Ovis aries: one gene and its partners. The protein of the gene in region 3 interacts with the protein of the main gene of each other region in a biochemical or structural test. Links are inferred from orthologs where the notes say so. Each region holds a gene or a part of one and is shown on either strand. Other genes may lie near its edges. The genes, in order: RBM15, LUC7L, SRPK2 and PRPF38A.

What was found.
Region 1: of the proteins of SRPK2 (region 3) and RBM15, one has a biochemical effect on the other in vitro, tested with the Homo sapiens proteins (2 studies listed by BioGRID and IntAct). The link is inferred for Ovis aries from reciprocal best matches to the Homo sapiens genes SRPK2 and RBM15.
Region 2: of the proteins of SRPK2 (region 3) and LUC7L, one has a biochemical effect on the other in vitro, tested with the Homo sapiens proteins (2 studies listed by BioGRID and IntAct). The link is inferred for Ovis aries from reciprocal best matches to the Homo sapiens genes SRPK2 and LUC7L.
Region 4: of the proteins of SRPK2 (region 3) and PRPF38A, one has a biochemical effect on the other in vitro, tested with the Homo sapiens proteins (2 studies listed by BioGRID and IntAct). The link is inferred for Ovis aries from reciprocal best matches to the Homo sapiens genes SRPK2 and PRPF38A.

Annotation. Positions count from the first base shown.
Region 1 is NC_056054.1:87,639,788-87,643,892, forward strand, and holds the start of RBM15 (RNA-binding protein 15), read left to right. Parts: upstream 1-1,203; 5' UTR 1,204-2,091; coding exon 2,092-4,105. UniProt on the Homo sapiens protein: RNA-binding protein that acts as a key regulator of N6-methyladenosine (m6A) methylation of RNAs, thereby regulating different processes, such as hematopoietic cell homeostasis, alternative splicing of mRNAs and X chromosome inactivation mediated by Xist RNA.
Region 2 is NC_056077.1:772,996-775,797, forward strand, and holds the end of LUC7L (putative RNA-binding protein Luc7-like 1), read right to left. Parts: intron 2,080-2,802; coding exon 2,050-2,079; intron 1,690-2,049; coding exon 1,522-1,689; intron 907-1,521; coding exon 765-906; 3' UTR 563-764; downstream 1-562. UniProt on the Homo sapiens protein: May bind to RNA via its Arg/Ser-rich domain.
Region 3 is NC_056057.1:47,825,026-47,828,645, forward strand, and holds part of SRPK2 (SRSF protein kinase 2), read right to left. Parts: intron 2,738-3,620; coding exon 2,712-2,737; intron 1,255-2,711; coding exon 1,008-1,254; intron 447-1,007; coding exon 1-446. UniProt on the Homo sapiens protein: Serine/arginine-rich protein-specific kinase which specifically phosphorylates its substrates at serine residues located in regions rich in arginine/serine dipeptides, known as RS domains and is involved in the phosphorylation of SR splicing factors and the regulation of splicing.
Region 4 is NC_056054.1:26,821,511-26,824,429, reverse strand, and holds part of PRPF38A (pre-mRNA-splicing factor 38A), read right to left. Parts: intron 2,898-2,919; coding exon 2,800-2,897; intron 2,384-2,799; coding exon 2,335-2,383; intron 1,447-2,334; coding exon 1,404-1,446; 3' UTR 1-1,403. UniProt on the Homo sapiens protein: Involved in pre-mRNA splicing as a component of the spliceosome.

The DNA of each region.
Region 1 (4,105 bases), on a different chromosome or scaffold from region 3:
GACTCTTGAGAGTCCCTTGGACTGCAAGGAGATCCAACCAGTCCATTCTGAAGATCAGCCCTGGGATTTCTTTGGAAGGAATGATGCTAAAGCTGAAACTCCAGTACTTTGGCCACCTCATGCGAAGAGTTGACTCAATGGAAAAGACTGATGCTGGGAGAGATTGGGGGCAGAAGGGGATGACAGAGGATGAGATGGCTGGATGGCATCACTGACTTGATGGACATGAGTTTGGGTAAATTCAGGGAGTTGGTGATGGACAGGGAGGCCTGGCATGCTGCGATTTATGGGGTCGCAAAGAGTCGGACATGACTGAGCGATTGAACTGAACTGAGTTTTCAGTCTCTAAAAGTTTCAAAGTTTAGGTTTCAGTTTGGGGGACCTAGTTACCTCAAAAGATGTCATGTTTAAAAACATGTCACATTGTCTCCTACAGATAGAATCTTGAGAGATGCAGTTGAAGAAAGGATCTATACAAGAATCCCCTTTCCTCTGCCCAGAGGACTTGAGGAGGAATGCATAAAAGCTTAGCCCTGTGATGAACTCAGCACTACCTCCCTTCATCGGATAGAAACACCAGCACCCCACACAAGAGCTTTACTGTCTGACACAATGAAGGTCTATGGAAAGAAATTTGGGTTAAAACGGCGAATGATTTTCAGAGTCAAAAGAGATGGACTTAGATAGCAAGGTGGCTGTTCTACCCTGTTCTGAAGGTGAGGGCACGTACAAGAAACCACAGGAAAAAACGCGACACATCTGCAGGCAGCAAAGTACATTCATTTCATTCGATTATTTACCAGGGAAGGTTGTTAACATATAAAAATCTAACGCAGCTATATTATCGGACAAAACCCGAAATCTACGTGAATTTGCAACATAAATCAGGAAGCCCAGACTCGTCCGTCGTGGCCCGAGTCCCCACCCTGCCTATAGGAGTCAAAACTGGAAGCTTCAGTCTCTCTTTTTCCTAGGTTACCCCAGGACACTCGGGCGGGAACGAATCGCACCGAGCAGTGCCGACTTCCAGCCTGGGCTAAGCACCAGCTCCAGAGCTGCGGGACCCCAAAGGCCTGAGCTCAGCTTACGACCCGACCCGCCCCCGGGCGTTAGTGTGACCCGGCCCTTCCTGAACTGTGAACCTGGCCCTACCGGCGCCGCGGGCCCCAGTGCGCTTTCTTGCGTACGGTGGGTGGGGCTTTTAAAGGCCGTTCACGCAAAGGCCAACGGCGCTAAGATGGTGTCCGCTGGGCGCCCCGGGACGGTTTCCTGAAGGATTCGCGGGCCCAGCGGTGGGAGGGAAGAGGCAGAAGCCCAGCGCCTGGTCCCACACAGGTAGGAGGTAGGACGCCTAGAAGTTCTGAGGTCCGAGGGCCAAACCCCAACCAAGTACGCCGTGGGAGCGAACAAATGTTGGAAAGGAAAACGCCGAACGCAGAAAGGCGGAACGGTCTCATGGTCACCATTTCGCGACGTCTAAGTGACGTCGCACAGCAAGCGCGTATTCTACTCTTTCACCTTCAGACAGCCTCCTCATTGTAAGAGCCTACGCCTTTAAGCGAGTGATGGACAGTTATTTCGGCCTATCAACTTCATCGTCAACATCCAATCAGATTTAAACTTCTTTCAGCCGCCGGAGGAGTTGGAAGAAAGGCATCGAAAGAGGGAGCTTTCTCTCTCTCGCGAGATCGCTGTGAGCCGGCCTCTCAGAAAAAAAAAAAATGCTAGAACATATGGCCTGACTTCCCAAATAGTAGGTTAAAGGACGGGGTCATAAACCAATGAAAGTTATGAGGAGGCGGGATCACTGCTTTCGCCCCGCAAGAAGTACCGTTAGAGGGCGGACTTTTTGTCCAATCAACGCCTCCAGACTTTGGGTCAGGTGACCATCGAGTGCAAGGGGCGGAGCTACAGTCTGGCGCGAGGAACCGTTAAGATGGACAACGAATATAACCAATGAGGTACTCTGACTAGGGCGTTGAGAACCCAATAACAGTGGTTGGGCGGGCGCCTTCCCGGAGCGCGGGGAGATGTAAAGACAGACAAATAGTTTTCCCAATGAGACTGTAGAAGAGCGGAGCTAATTGACCAATGAAGACTGCGGGGCGGGACCCTCTGCCGCGGCACAGTCCAAGATGGCGGCGTGCGGTTCCGCTGTGTGAAACCAGCGCGGGGCGGCGGGTTAGTCAGTTCCGCGGAGAAGATCTCCGACGCCCCGCTACCATGAAGGGAAAAGAGCGCTCTCCGGTCAAGCCGAAACGCTCCCGTGGTGGTGAGGATTCGACTTCCCGCGGGGAGCGGAGCAAGAAGTTAGGGGGCTCTGGTGGCAGCAATGGGAGCAGCAGCGGAAAGACCGACGGCGGCGGCGGGTCGCGGCGCAGCCTTCATCTGGACAAGTCTAGCAGCCGAGGTGGTAGCCGCGAGTACGACACCGGAGGGGGCAGCTCCAGTAGCCGCTTGCATAGTTACAGCTCCCCAAGCACCAAAAATTCCTCGGGCGGGGGCGAGTCGCGCAGCAGCTCCCGGGGTGGAGGCGGGGAGTCACGTTCCTCTGGGGCCGCCTCTTCGGCTCCTGGCGGCGGCGATGGCGGGGAATACAAGACACTGAAGATAAGCGAGTTGGGGTCCCAGCTGAGTGACGAAGCAGTGGAGGACGGATTGTTTCACGAGTTTAAACGCTTCGGTGATGTAAGTGTCAAAATCAGTCATCTCTCGGGTTCTGGCAGCGGGGATGAGCGAGTAGCCTTTGTGAACTTCCGGCGGCCAGAGGACGCGCGGGCGGCCAAGCATGCCAGAGGCCGCCTAGTGCTCTATGACCGGCCTCTGAAGATAGAAGCTGTGTATGTGAGCCGGCGCCGTAGCCGCTCCCCTTTAGACAAAGATTCCTATCCTCCTTCAGCCAGTGTGGTCGGGTCCTCTGTAGGTGGTCACCGGCACCCCCCTGGAGGAGGTGGTGGAGGCCAGAGATCACTTTCCCCTGGTGGTGCAGCCTTGGGATACAGAGACTACCGGTTGCAGCAGTTGGCCCTTGGCCGCCTGCCCCCTCCACCTCCGCCACCACTGCCCCGAGATCTGGAGAGAGAGCGAGACTACTCGTTCTATGAGAGAGTGCGCCCAGCCTACAGTCTTGAGCCAAGGGTGGGAACTGGAGCAGGTGCCGCTCCTTTCAGAGAAGTAGATGAGATCTCACCCGAGGATGACCAGCGAGCTAACCGGACGCTTTTCTTGGGCAACCTAGACATCACTGTGACAGAGAGTGATCTAAGAAGGGCTTTTGACCGTTTCGGAGTCATCACAGAGGTAGACATCAAGAGGCCTTCTCGGGGCCAGACCAGTACCTATGGCTTTCTCAAATTTGAAAATCTAGATATGTCTCACCGGGCCAAACTAGCGATGTCTGGCAAAATTATCATTCGGAATCCTATCAAAATTGGCTATGGCAAAGCTACACCGACCACCCGCCTTTGGGTAGGTGGCCTGGGTCCTTGGGTGCCTCTTGCTGCCCTGGCACGGGAGTTTGACCGGTTTGGCACCATACGCACCATTGACTACCGCAAAGGTGATAGTTGGGCATATATCCAGTACGAAAGCCTGGATGCAGCTCATGCTGCCTGGACCCATATGAGGGGCTTCCCACTTGGTGGCCCAGATCGTCGCCTTAGAGTAGACTTTGCAGACACAGAACATCGTTACCAGCAGCAATATCTGCAGCCTCTGCCGTTAACTCATTATGAACTGGTGACAGATGCTTTTGGACACCGGGCACCAGACCCTTTGAGGGGTGCTCGGGATAGGACACCACCCTTACTGTACAGAGATCGTGATAGGGACCTTTATCCTGACTCTGATTGGGTTCCACCCCCACCCCCAGTCCGTGAACGCAGCACTCGGACTGCAGCTACGGCTGTGCCTGCTTATGAGCCACTGGATAGCCTGGATCGCAGGCGGGATGGCTGGTCGTTGGACCGGGACAGAGGTGACCGAGATCTGCCCAGCAGCAGAGACCAACCTAGGAAGCGAAGGCTGCCTGAGGAGAGTGGGGGTCGGCATCTGGATAGGTCCCCAGAGAGTGACCGTCCACGAAAACGTCATTGCGCGCCTTCTC
Region 2 (2,802 bases), on a different chromosome or scaffold from region 3:
CTGGCCACTACAGTCCATAGGGTTACAAAGAATCAGACATGACTGAGCACGGACAGTCATCCTCCCTCTGAAAAGTGAAAAAATGAAAGAGCTCCCAGTTGTATTGTCAGAATAGCTCACTTTAGTCTCAAGATACAAGCAGAAGGGCTGAGGGAGACTGGATAATACCACCAGCCCTGCCAAGGGTGAGCAGAGCCACGACTGACCCCAAAGGTAACGTGCCCTCCTCTGAGGACCTCGTGGCCGTCATGTCGACCTTTCTGTGGGTCTTTGCTCGGAGTAACTCCGAGACAGGGAACTGCAGCTTATCTGAGCTCCAGCACTGGGCGGAGGCTGCCGACCACAAACCAGACAGGCAGTCCTCCAAAGAAATGGGGGAAGAGAACAGCTTGGACCTCAGAAGGACACACGGGGCAGGGAGAGCATAATGCAGAGGGGAGCCCGAGGATGAGTCACATTTCTGGGCTGCGTGCAGGTGACCCGGGCGTGCCCCCCGCCCTGTGGAAGGCATGGCAAGCCCAGCGCAGCCAGGACAGCAGAGAACGCACGGCGGCCGCCGGGAGGCAGTCTGTCAGGTTGTTTATTCCCACTCGACATAACCCAGAGCACAGGAGCAACTCTGTACACCTCTAGAAACTTACAGCTAGCTCCAAAACAATAGAAATGTTAAACTACAAAAGATGAGCTGTATTCCGCAAATAGAAAGGGTGACGTGAGGCCGTGTCAAACGCGGATCGGACTATTTACAGCGCCTGGGCGTGGGCTCAGATCTCGCCGGCCTCCTTCTCCTCTGACCTCCGCGATGCAGCCTTCCCGTTGGCGCTCTCAAGCCTCCAGTCGGTGGCCCCCCGCTCACTCCGCCCGCGCTCCCAGGACTCCTCCCTGGAAGTCCGCTCTCGGGAGAACCTGGGGAAAGGGAACCAGAGGCTCATCGAGGGCTGGCCCTCCCTCCTGGGTGCTCCCCAGGCGCGGACACCGAGGACCCTCCATGCGAGGGAAGGGAAGACCCGCACAGCGGGGAGGGCCAAGCAGGAGCCGCACAGGGAGGGCCGGGCAGCTAACACAGAGTGGCGTTTTCAGAGGGCTCTAGTAACAGGGACAGCTTTCCCTAAAATGCAAACAGTGCAAAGGAAGATGCAGCACGAGCTGATCCATCATGTAAAAGCACAATGGAGGAAAAGCATTACCAAAGCGAGAGGTGGTCATCTCAGAACATGGCCATCAGTAGTGTCTTTTTTTAAATCACAACCTGGGTGAGCAGCCTATCAGGGCTGTGTGCACCACAGTGGCAGTGCGTGTGTAGCCCAAGCACAGCCTCGCCTACACGGGACACCTCTGCAGCTCTCAACTGTCCAGCCCTGAAGCCCCCTGCTGCCCCCAGCAGGTGGACTCCCAGAGCCCTGGGCCCCGTCAGGACCCTCAAGGCCTCAACGCTCAGTCCCTGGGTGACAGCCCCCAGGGCTTGGCGCACAGAGCAGGGCTCCACTCCTGCTGCAAATACTGAAGGAGCAGAGTAGTTACTTGTATTTCGAGCTCCGGTCCCTGGATGCCCGGCGATGGCCACGGCTGTGGCTCCGGGAGCGACTTCGGTGGCGCCGGTGTCTGTCCCGGGACCGGGAGCGGGACGACTTCCGCCGCTCTCTAGAAGTAGACCTCGACCGCCTGCGACGTCGGTCCCGGGAGCGCGACCTGCAACAGAGGCTGTGCTGACACCTTACTGCTGTATCTGCTCTCTCCTCCCAGACTTGTAACCCGGTTCACAATCGTCCCCTCAACGCCACCCTGGTCACAAATAACTGGCCAGACTCGCCCCACCAATGCTTCCGGAAACACGCCAGGAACTTTCTGATCATCCTTCTCACTGACAGTGAACGCCCACCCCACACTGCACTGCGCCCCAACCAGGGCTCTCTTTCTAACCCATGCCCTGTGCCCTTTGTGACCAGCCCTGACCCCAGACAACAAATGCCAAGTTATAAAGGCTAAGTATCAAGAAAAAAGCACATGGAAAAGGACATCTTACTGAGAATATATCAATGGAAAACCTACCTCCTGCGATCTCTTGTTCTTGATCCAGACCTAAAATGGAAAAAAAGATGAGCAATTTCCCAAAAACAGCCCAATTCCTTATAGCTGAGGGGAGGTGCCCCATGTCCACATGGTGACGAGGGTCAACTTCCCACAGGACCTGCTTTGAGGCCCGCCCAGGGGCCACCACCTGTTGGAGGGACAAGGAAGAGACCAGCACCCAGGGGTCCATGCTGCACTGAGCTGAACCAGTGGTTCTGCAAACTTCACAGCGGACACCAACCCAGCTACACAGACAGTCACAGTGCAGGGCTGGGCAGGACACCCAAGCTCCAAACACAGGCTCACTTTCCTGGGAGTGCTGCAGGAGCTCCCGGAAAACAGTACACAACCAGCAATGGAAGAAATGCACTTGAGGGACCTTCCCTGGTGGTCCAGTGGTTGAGAATCCACCCTGCAATGCAGGGGACATGAGTTCAATCCCTGGTCAGGGAACTAAGATCTCACATGCCATGGGGAAACTAAGACTGCATGCCACAACTACTGAGTCTACGTGCTCTGGAGCCCATGTGCCTGATACAAAGATTCCACATAAGAGGAAGACCCTCAGTTCAGTTCAGTCGCTCTGTCATGTCCAACTCCTTGCGACCCCATGAACTGCAGCACGCCAGGTCTCCCTGTCCATCACCGACTCCCGGAGTCCACCCAAACCCATGTCCATCGAGTGGGCGATGCCATCCAACCATCTCATCCTCTGTCATCCCCTTCTCCTGC
Region 3 (3,620 bases):
CCTGCTTCTGTCACGGGATGGACTGCCTTCCTCATGCTCAGTAAGGGGGGATCCCTCAGAAAGTGCAGAGCCACAAGCCACAGGTTCTAAGGGCCCAGAGAACAATGATGTGGAAAATTCTGGAAACTGTGACTCGGGAATTTTATGTCGTCCATTTGGCAATTCACCATTGAATTGTTCATAGGAGCTGCTATATGTGTAATCGCTTTCTGCATTTGGCTCATCGAGGTTACATTCCTCAGGATTTGGGCAATCTTCCTCATCATCGTCTTCATCATCCAGCTGTTGCTCCAGTAAGAAGGGGCCGTTCTCAATATGGCCGTTAGTTTTCGGTGATTCTATCCAGGTAGGGTCTATGTTCGCAAGCTCCTGTTCGACATCGTCTTCATCTTTCTCAGTGTTTTCTTTCTCAGTGTCTTCTTTCTCCTCCTGGTCCTCAGCTTCCCCTTAAGAAGTGGAAGGGTGAGAATTAGAACTTGTCATTCTCCTTAACAGAGTGCACTAGGCATTTATCCTCTCCAACAAGAGACATGTTTGAACATGCTAATTTCACTCGCTACACAGCAAACACCTCTGGGCTCTCAGGGTAAATCTCCAGGTTCTCTAAATCTTATTTTTCATTTACTAAATAACTAGGCTACTCTTATTAGAGAAAGCTAGCTCTTAGAGAAAATGAGCATAAATAGAGCTGTATTTCCATTTTCTACCCTCTCCTCTATAATCTTCAGAGATTGTCTAAGGGTACATTACTGATGAGTCAAAGCTTAATTACAAAATGAAGGACAATCATTAACATGATAAAGACATGGTGCTTCTCAGACATTTTCCATTGGAAAACAAAAACTATTCTGAAACATGTTTCTGGTGCCTATTTTACAAAGCAAGTATCAGACAGCTCCCACATTCTCCAGGGATGACTTGGAATGCCCTCAGGTCTGAAACACAGCAGCGCCAAGTCGCCCTGCGTGAGGCCCTGGGGTGCAGCCGGCTCTCCAGCACTCACTGACCGTTGTTATTCGCAGTCTCTCCCTCGGCCACCTCCTCCAGTCCTGCTGTTTTTAGCTTCACCTCTGGGTGGTATTCATCATCTTGCTCATTGGAAGGTACAACTGACGTGACGTTTTCCTCTATTATTTTTCTTTCAGCTTCTCGCTCCAATTCTTCTATTTCCTGCAAGCGCTTTTCCAGTAACTCAGCCTGCCTTTTCTGCTTCTTTTTCATTTTTTTCTTTTTGTTTTTAGATATTTTTCCTATCTACAACATGTTAAGAAAATAGCACAGGTTAGTTTGCTTCTTTTTAAAGCACTATGCAGCAGCATCTAAGTGCTGGCAACATGGCAAATACCAACACAGTCTGTTTTCTCAGGTCTATTCAATTAAAATCACATGCCCAGACATGAGATCCACAATATGGTTAACATTGCAGCAAAGCCAGAAAAAAAAGAAACCAGTGCTGATATCAAGTAGCGGGACTACTACCAGCTCCTGCCAATGGAGAGATACAGCGTAAACCCAGCAAGCCTTTTCCCTTTAAATTCTACGAACTAACTATGCCAAGGCATTTCTGCCTTTAGACAAGAAGCATCTCTTGCAAGTTTCATTTGCTGCTACCTGTCTACAAAGTATTAACAATGTTCCCTCTCTTTACTGTCTTACTCAACTGTCTGCCAAAACAGGTGTACTTCATTCGTGTTTGGTCAACAGCGCTGTTTGTGCTTGGGTCTCACACACCAAGTTGTTAAAAACAGCCAAGACAGCAGGAACTGTAAGAAATGAGCATATGAAGTAAAGGGAAAAAAAGACAAAGCCATGGTTTCAGTCTGCCTCCAGTCATGGCCATCTGACTTGGAAAGTACTGGCAATGGGATCCTCCAGTCTTTCACAGAACCAATAATCAAAGCAAACTGCTCAAGCCACGGCAGAGCTCAGCAGGCCAGGCGGCAGAATTCTTACAGCTCCTCCTCCTGCTGGGACTCCCACTGCAGGCTGAGGGTTGCTGGCTGCACTCTGGAGTTCTGCACATTTCCTTCCGAGGGCTTTCGGGTCATAAAGACCTTTAAAACTTGCAGGTGACCCATCAACTTGAGAGATATATATATATTCTATGCTTAACTGGAACCAAGCCTAAACCAGGTTTAGATCTAGAATTTAATTCCAAACAGCCTGCTTCATTTGTTCACACTTGGAATTTTGATAGGACCACACAGATAATGCTCTTTCACATTTAACTACTAGCTGGAAAAAAATTAGAACAGCAGCTTCAGAAAAAACAGGTAACTTAGAGGCAAATCAGAAATAATAGAAAGTGTCTGTGGAATAATCACACTTAAAACCCTATCTCTATAACCTCACATTTTATCAGACTCAGCCAACAGCACTCCAGAAAGTACACGAGGAAAATACAGAATTTGGGACAGCTCTAATTATCCCACCTCTAAAAATCACTTCACTTTTTCAAAATATTGTCTTGCATATTCAAGTATACGCAGCATTTATAAATATGGCTGTCTTTTACGCTAAAATACATGACAACATCTATGACTGAGAAAGGAACAACAACAACAAAAAAAGTAAAACTAATTCCCTCAAACAACCCTTAAAAAAAAGTTGTTGCAGAAAGAAACAAAAACTAATGTTACAATTAGAAAAGTTCAGTAATGACTAGTCACTTTTGACAAGGAGGTAATAGAAGTATATATGTAAGTACTTACAGGCTTTTGCTGTGGAGCGGTACTCACTAAAAACAAAACAAAATAAAGTGAACATTTAGAGTGAAACAGATACTTATCTTTTTGTAGGTAATCTGAACTGTAAAATGAAATAACTACTGCCTTTTAATGGCTATGCAACTTAAACAACTTTAAACAGCTTTAAATATTAAAGCTTGTTAATCATAGAGTCCTAAAGAAAGTTTATCCAACTCAAACAAATGATTGGCTCTTAAAAAGCAAAGCCATAGTGGTTCACATGGAGTCATTTCTCTTATTAACCTGAAATTAAACACTTATTCATTTCAAAAACACACAATCACAAAACACTGACTGGTAAGAAAAATGGAGAAGAGTGACAAAACCCAACTTGTTTATAGACAAAGAAATGAACAATTAACTTCCACATCTCTGTTTGAAAACTATTTCACAAGTTCATACAACTAAAATAGATCCAATACTACTACAAATAGTCTAGAAATGACATGAACAGACTTGGCCAATGTCAAAAGCTTCACAGACTATGGTTCCATTATCTAAACAGCAACCTGATGGTAGAAAACAAGATTCATAAGTGGTTCATCTGCCAAAAGCCTCAGTTTGAGGGCTTTCACTCTGCAGTCCCTGTGCTACCTGACAACACACTAGGGCAGAAAGCACGTGCAGACAGGATGAAAGCATCATCCACACTTCATGGCCACCTTGACACCTTGTGAAAACCAGAAATAAAACTTCATACACCAATGCTCAAGTCAGTTGATCTTCTTTCACCCTGAAGTTCTTGTAACTAATTTTAAGTGCACCAGTTACACTGATGTAACTATGCTCAATGGAGACAAGGAAGCATGCTGACGATTGTAGGTTGGCTACAGGAAACCTGTTACTATACACTCCTTTGTAGAGAAGTGGCCG
Region 4 (2,919 bases), on a different chromosome or scaffold from region 3:
TCTTCATAATTGTTGCCAGGGGCAGAGCTGCAGGAAATGTCAATTATTTTTTTCCATTTTAAAGGAGGAAAGGTAAGTACAGGTAGACAGAACTCCTCTAGCAAAGATCCAACACCCTCTTGATTATCAGTACCCATGGGCACTATTTAATCCTTATTTTGCTTCTTTGTCCTTAGCATCCTTAACCCATCTCTCCCATTTCCTCTACCTTTCTGAAATGATTCAATTATTTCAATTTTCAGTCAGTGTTTGCCCTTCTTCCTCAACAGAGTGAGTGTTGCTTATGATTCTACTACTAGTTTTCCTTACAAATGTACGCTCCCTAGGCATTCCATTCAATTCTACACCTACAATTACCTAAACATTGTTAATTCAGGGTTAGATCACTAGCTCAACTCCAGTTCTTATTTATAATGTCTGGGCTTTATCTAGATATACCATGGCTGTCTCAAAGTAAACTTCAAGTTAAGCTGAATGCATTTTTTTCTCCCTACTACCACAATTCTCACTACCTGCCCCTCTAAAACCTGGTTTCTTCCTGCTGTATTTTCTGGTTTTGTGAATGGTGCTGTTGTCCAGTAACTCAGGTTAAAACTCTGACTGGCATTAGATATTTTTTCTCTCCATTGAACGTTTTCATCCTGGTTGCCCTGCTGCTACTGCTAGTCTTGATAATATCAATGCTCATAGCATAAAGGTGCTGAGCACCTTAATTTGGAATTCAAGGCTGTAGGGAAGAAGAAACACTATACAATAATGCTATGTAATAGGTGTCAAGTTTTACTGTTTGTTGAACGTTTAATGCAACTGGATTAAATGATCCAGAAAAAGCCTTACAACTGAATTCATTCTTATAAAGCTGCTGATAACAGGTCAGTTTTCATGTTTATTACCATTTGCTGCTGCTGGAAGTAAAACCTGGAGCTAATATATTTTACCGACTTGTTTTTTTTTAATGGAACAGCAGCACATATCTCAGAATTCTCAAAACAGTTCAAATCTCAGTGTAAACCAAAACTAAAACCACAGAAAAACAGGAAATGGGTGTGTCAAGTTTAATAACAAAAATAACAAGGTGGCCACATCCTCCCCTTGTTTCATACACTCTATTTGAATCCATTCTACCCTCATAAATTTGAGTATAAACAAGTTTGTACAAAGAAGCCAAAAGCAGCTCTCAGTTCAGGAACCATTATCTTTCAAATGTGTGGATTACGTACAATTCATAAAGAGATACAAAACTCAGCACCTCTTCCATGTTAAAAAAAAGTGAAGAAAATGTGGTTTAAAAAAAATCTAAAATACTCTCATAGCTGCCTGGGACTGAGTAGATCTTTCTTTCACGTAGACAGATGCCTTCATCTCCACAGAAGGCCACTTGTATTAAAACCAAACTGAGTCCATTACTCATTCCCTCTCCGGCTCTTCTTGTGGCTTTTCTTAGACCTGAAATGGTGACACATACAAATCATTAAATTTACCAGCTGTTTTAGGAGCTGAGGAAGGATTTTTGAGAAAGACTGATACGTGCTAACACTGATGGGGGACAAAGACAGTCAATATTCATTAAAGGTACTTGGTGTTTTATGTTTAAGAGCAACACTGAGTTAGGCATTACTCTCCAAATTTATCATTGAAGAAATGACCTCTGAGAGATCGAGTGCTTCCAACAGTGTACAGTTTCTAGAGGTATCTAATGAAAGCTTACCAAATGAAAATGACTTATCCAATGTCATTCAACTGCTAAGTATTAAAAATTGGGACTGAGACTTCCCTAGTGGTCCTGTGGTTAGGAATCTGCCTGCCAATGCAGGGGACACGGGTTCAATCCTTGGTCCAGGAAGACCCCACGTGCTATGGGGCAGCTATGCCTGTGTACTGCAGCTGCGAAGCCCATGAGCCCTAGGGCCTGTGCTCTGCAATAGGAGGGGTCACTGCAGTGAGAGGCCTACATACTGTGGCTGGAGAGTAGCCTTTGTTCACCACAACTAGACAGGGCCCAGGAGCAAAGAAAGCCCAGTGTGGCCAGAAGTAAATACATTTTAAAAAATCTTAAAAGCTGGGAAGGAACCCCAGGTCTCCTGAGATTAAGGCTCATGCCTTTATCCAAAGCCGCAATCCTACAAGAAAAATAACTTCATGTATATATAATTCTAGTAATTTTCAGGGCAAGAGACCACTTTGTCCTATAATTAAGGAGAATTCCTAAACTGTATTGGTGGAGATTATATCCACTAACACAAGAATATTTCAGGTCTAACTGAGTTGTAATTGGGACTTTAATTTGTGAGTAAAGACTTAAATTCTTAAGTCAAAATAGAAGCTAATCCATACCTTTCAGGAGATTTTGAGTGGCTCCTGTGTCTGTGACTACGGTGATGACCTGGAGAAGAAGAAAGACTATTCAGTGTACCAGTTTCTATCCTCATACTCTCTGCTGTTATTTCCCCTAGTTTATTTTTGGCTTGTGATAGGGACACCTTGTTGGTAGCAAAGAACTGAACCCACTTAGCCTTCAGGACTTTATGGCTAAATTTCACTAACACCACACTGGGTATTTACCACTACTCTGTCATGTCTTACTCCTATAATTTCAGATGAAAACTGAAGCTCACCATCCTATCAACAAAGCTGGCAAATGACAGTTAAAATGTCAACTCTAATTTTCAAATTCTATGTCCACTTCCTTTTCTAGGCAGTAATAAAGTAAGGTACTCCTGTATTGTAGGAGGCTAATTGCTCCTATTACATTTCTTTATTGAGACAACCAACAGCAAGCAAAAGGCCCTAATGCTATACCTGGGGACTTGGAGCGGGATCTGTGCCGTCTATCTCGGGACCTGCTGCGATGACGTCTTGGACTCTTGCTCCGATGCCGTTCTCTGCGAGGGGAGGGGCTGTGGAAATGACTGGTCAGAC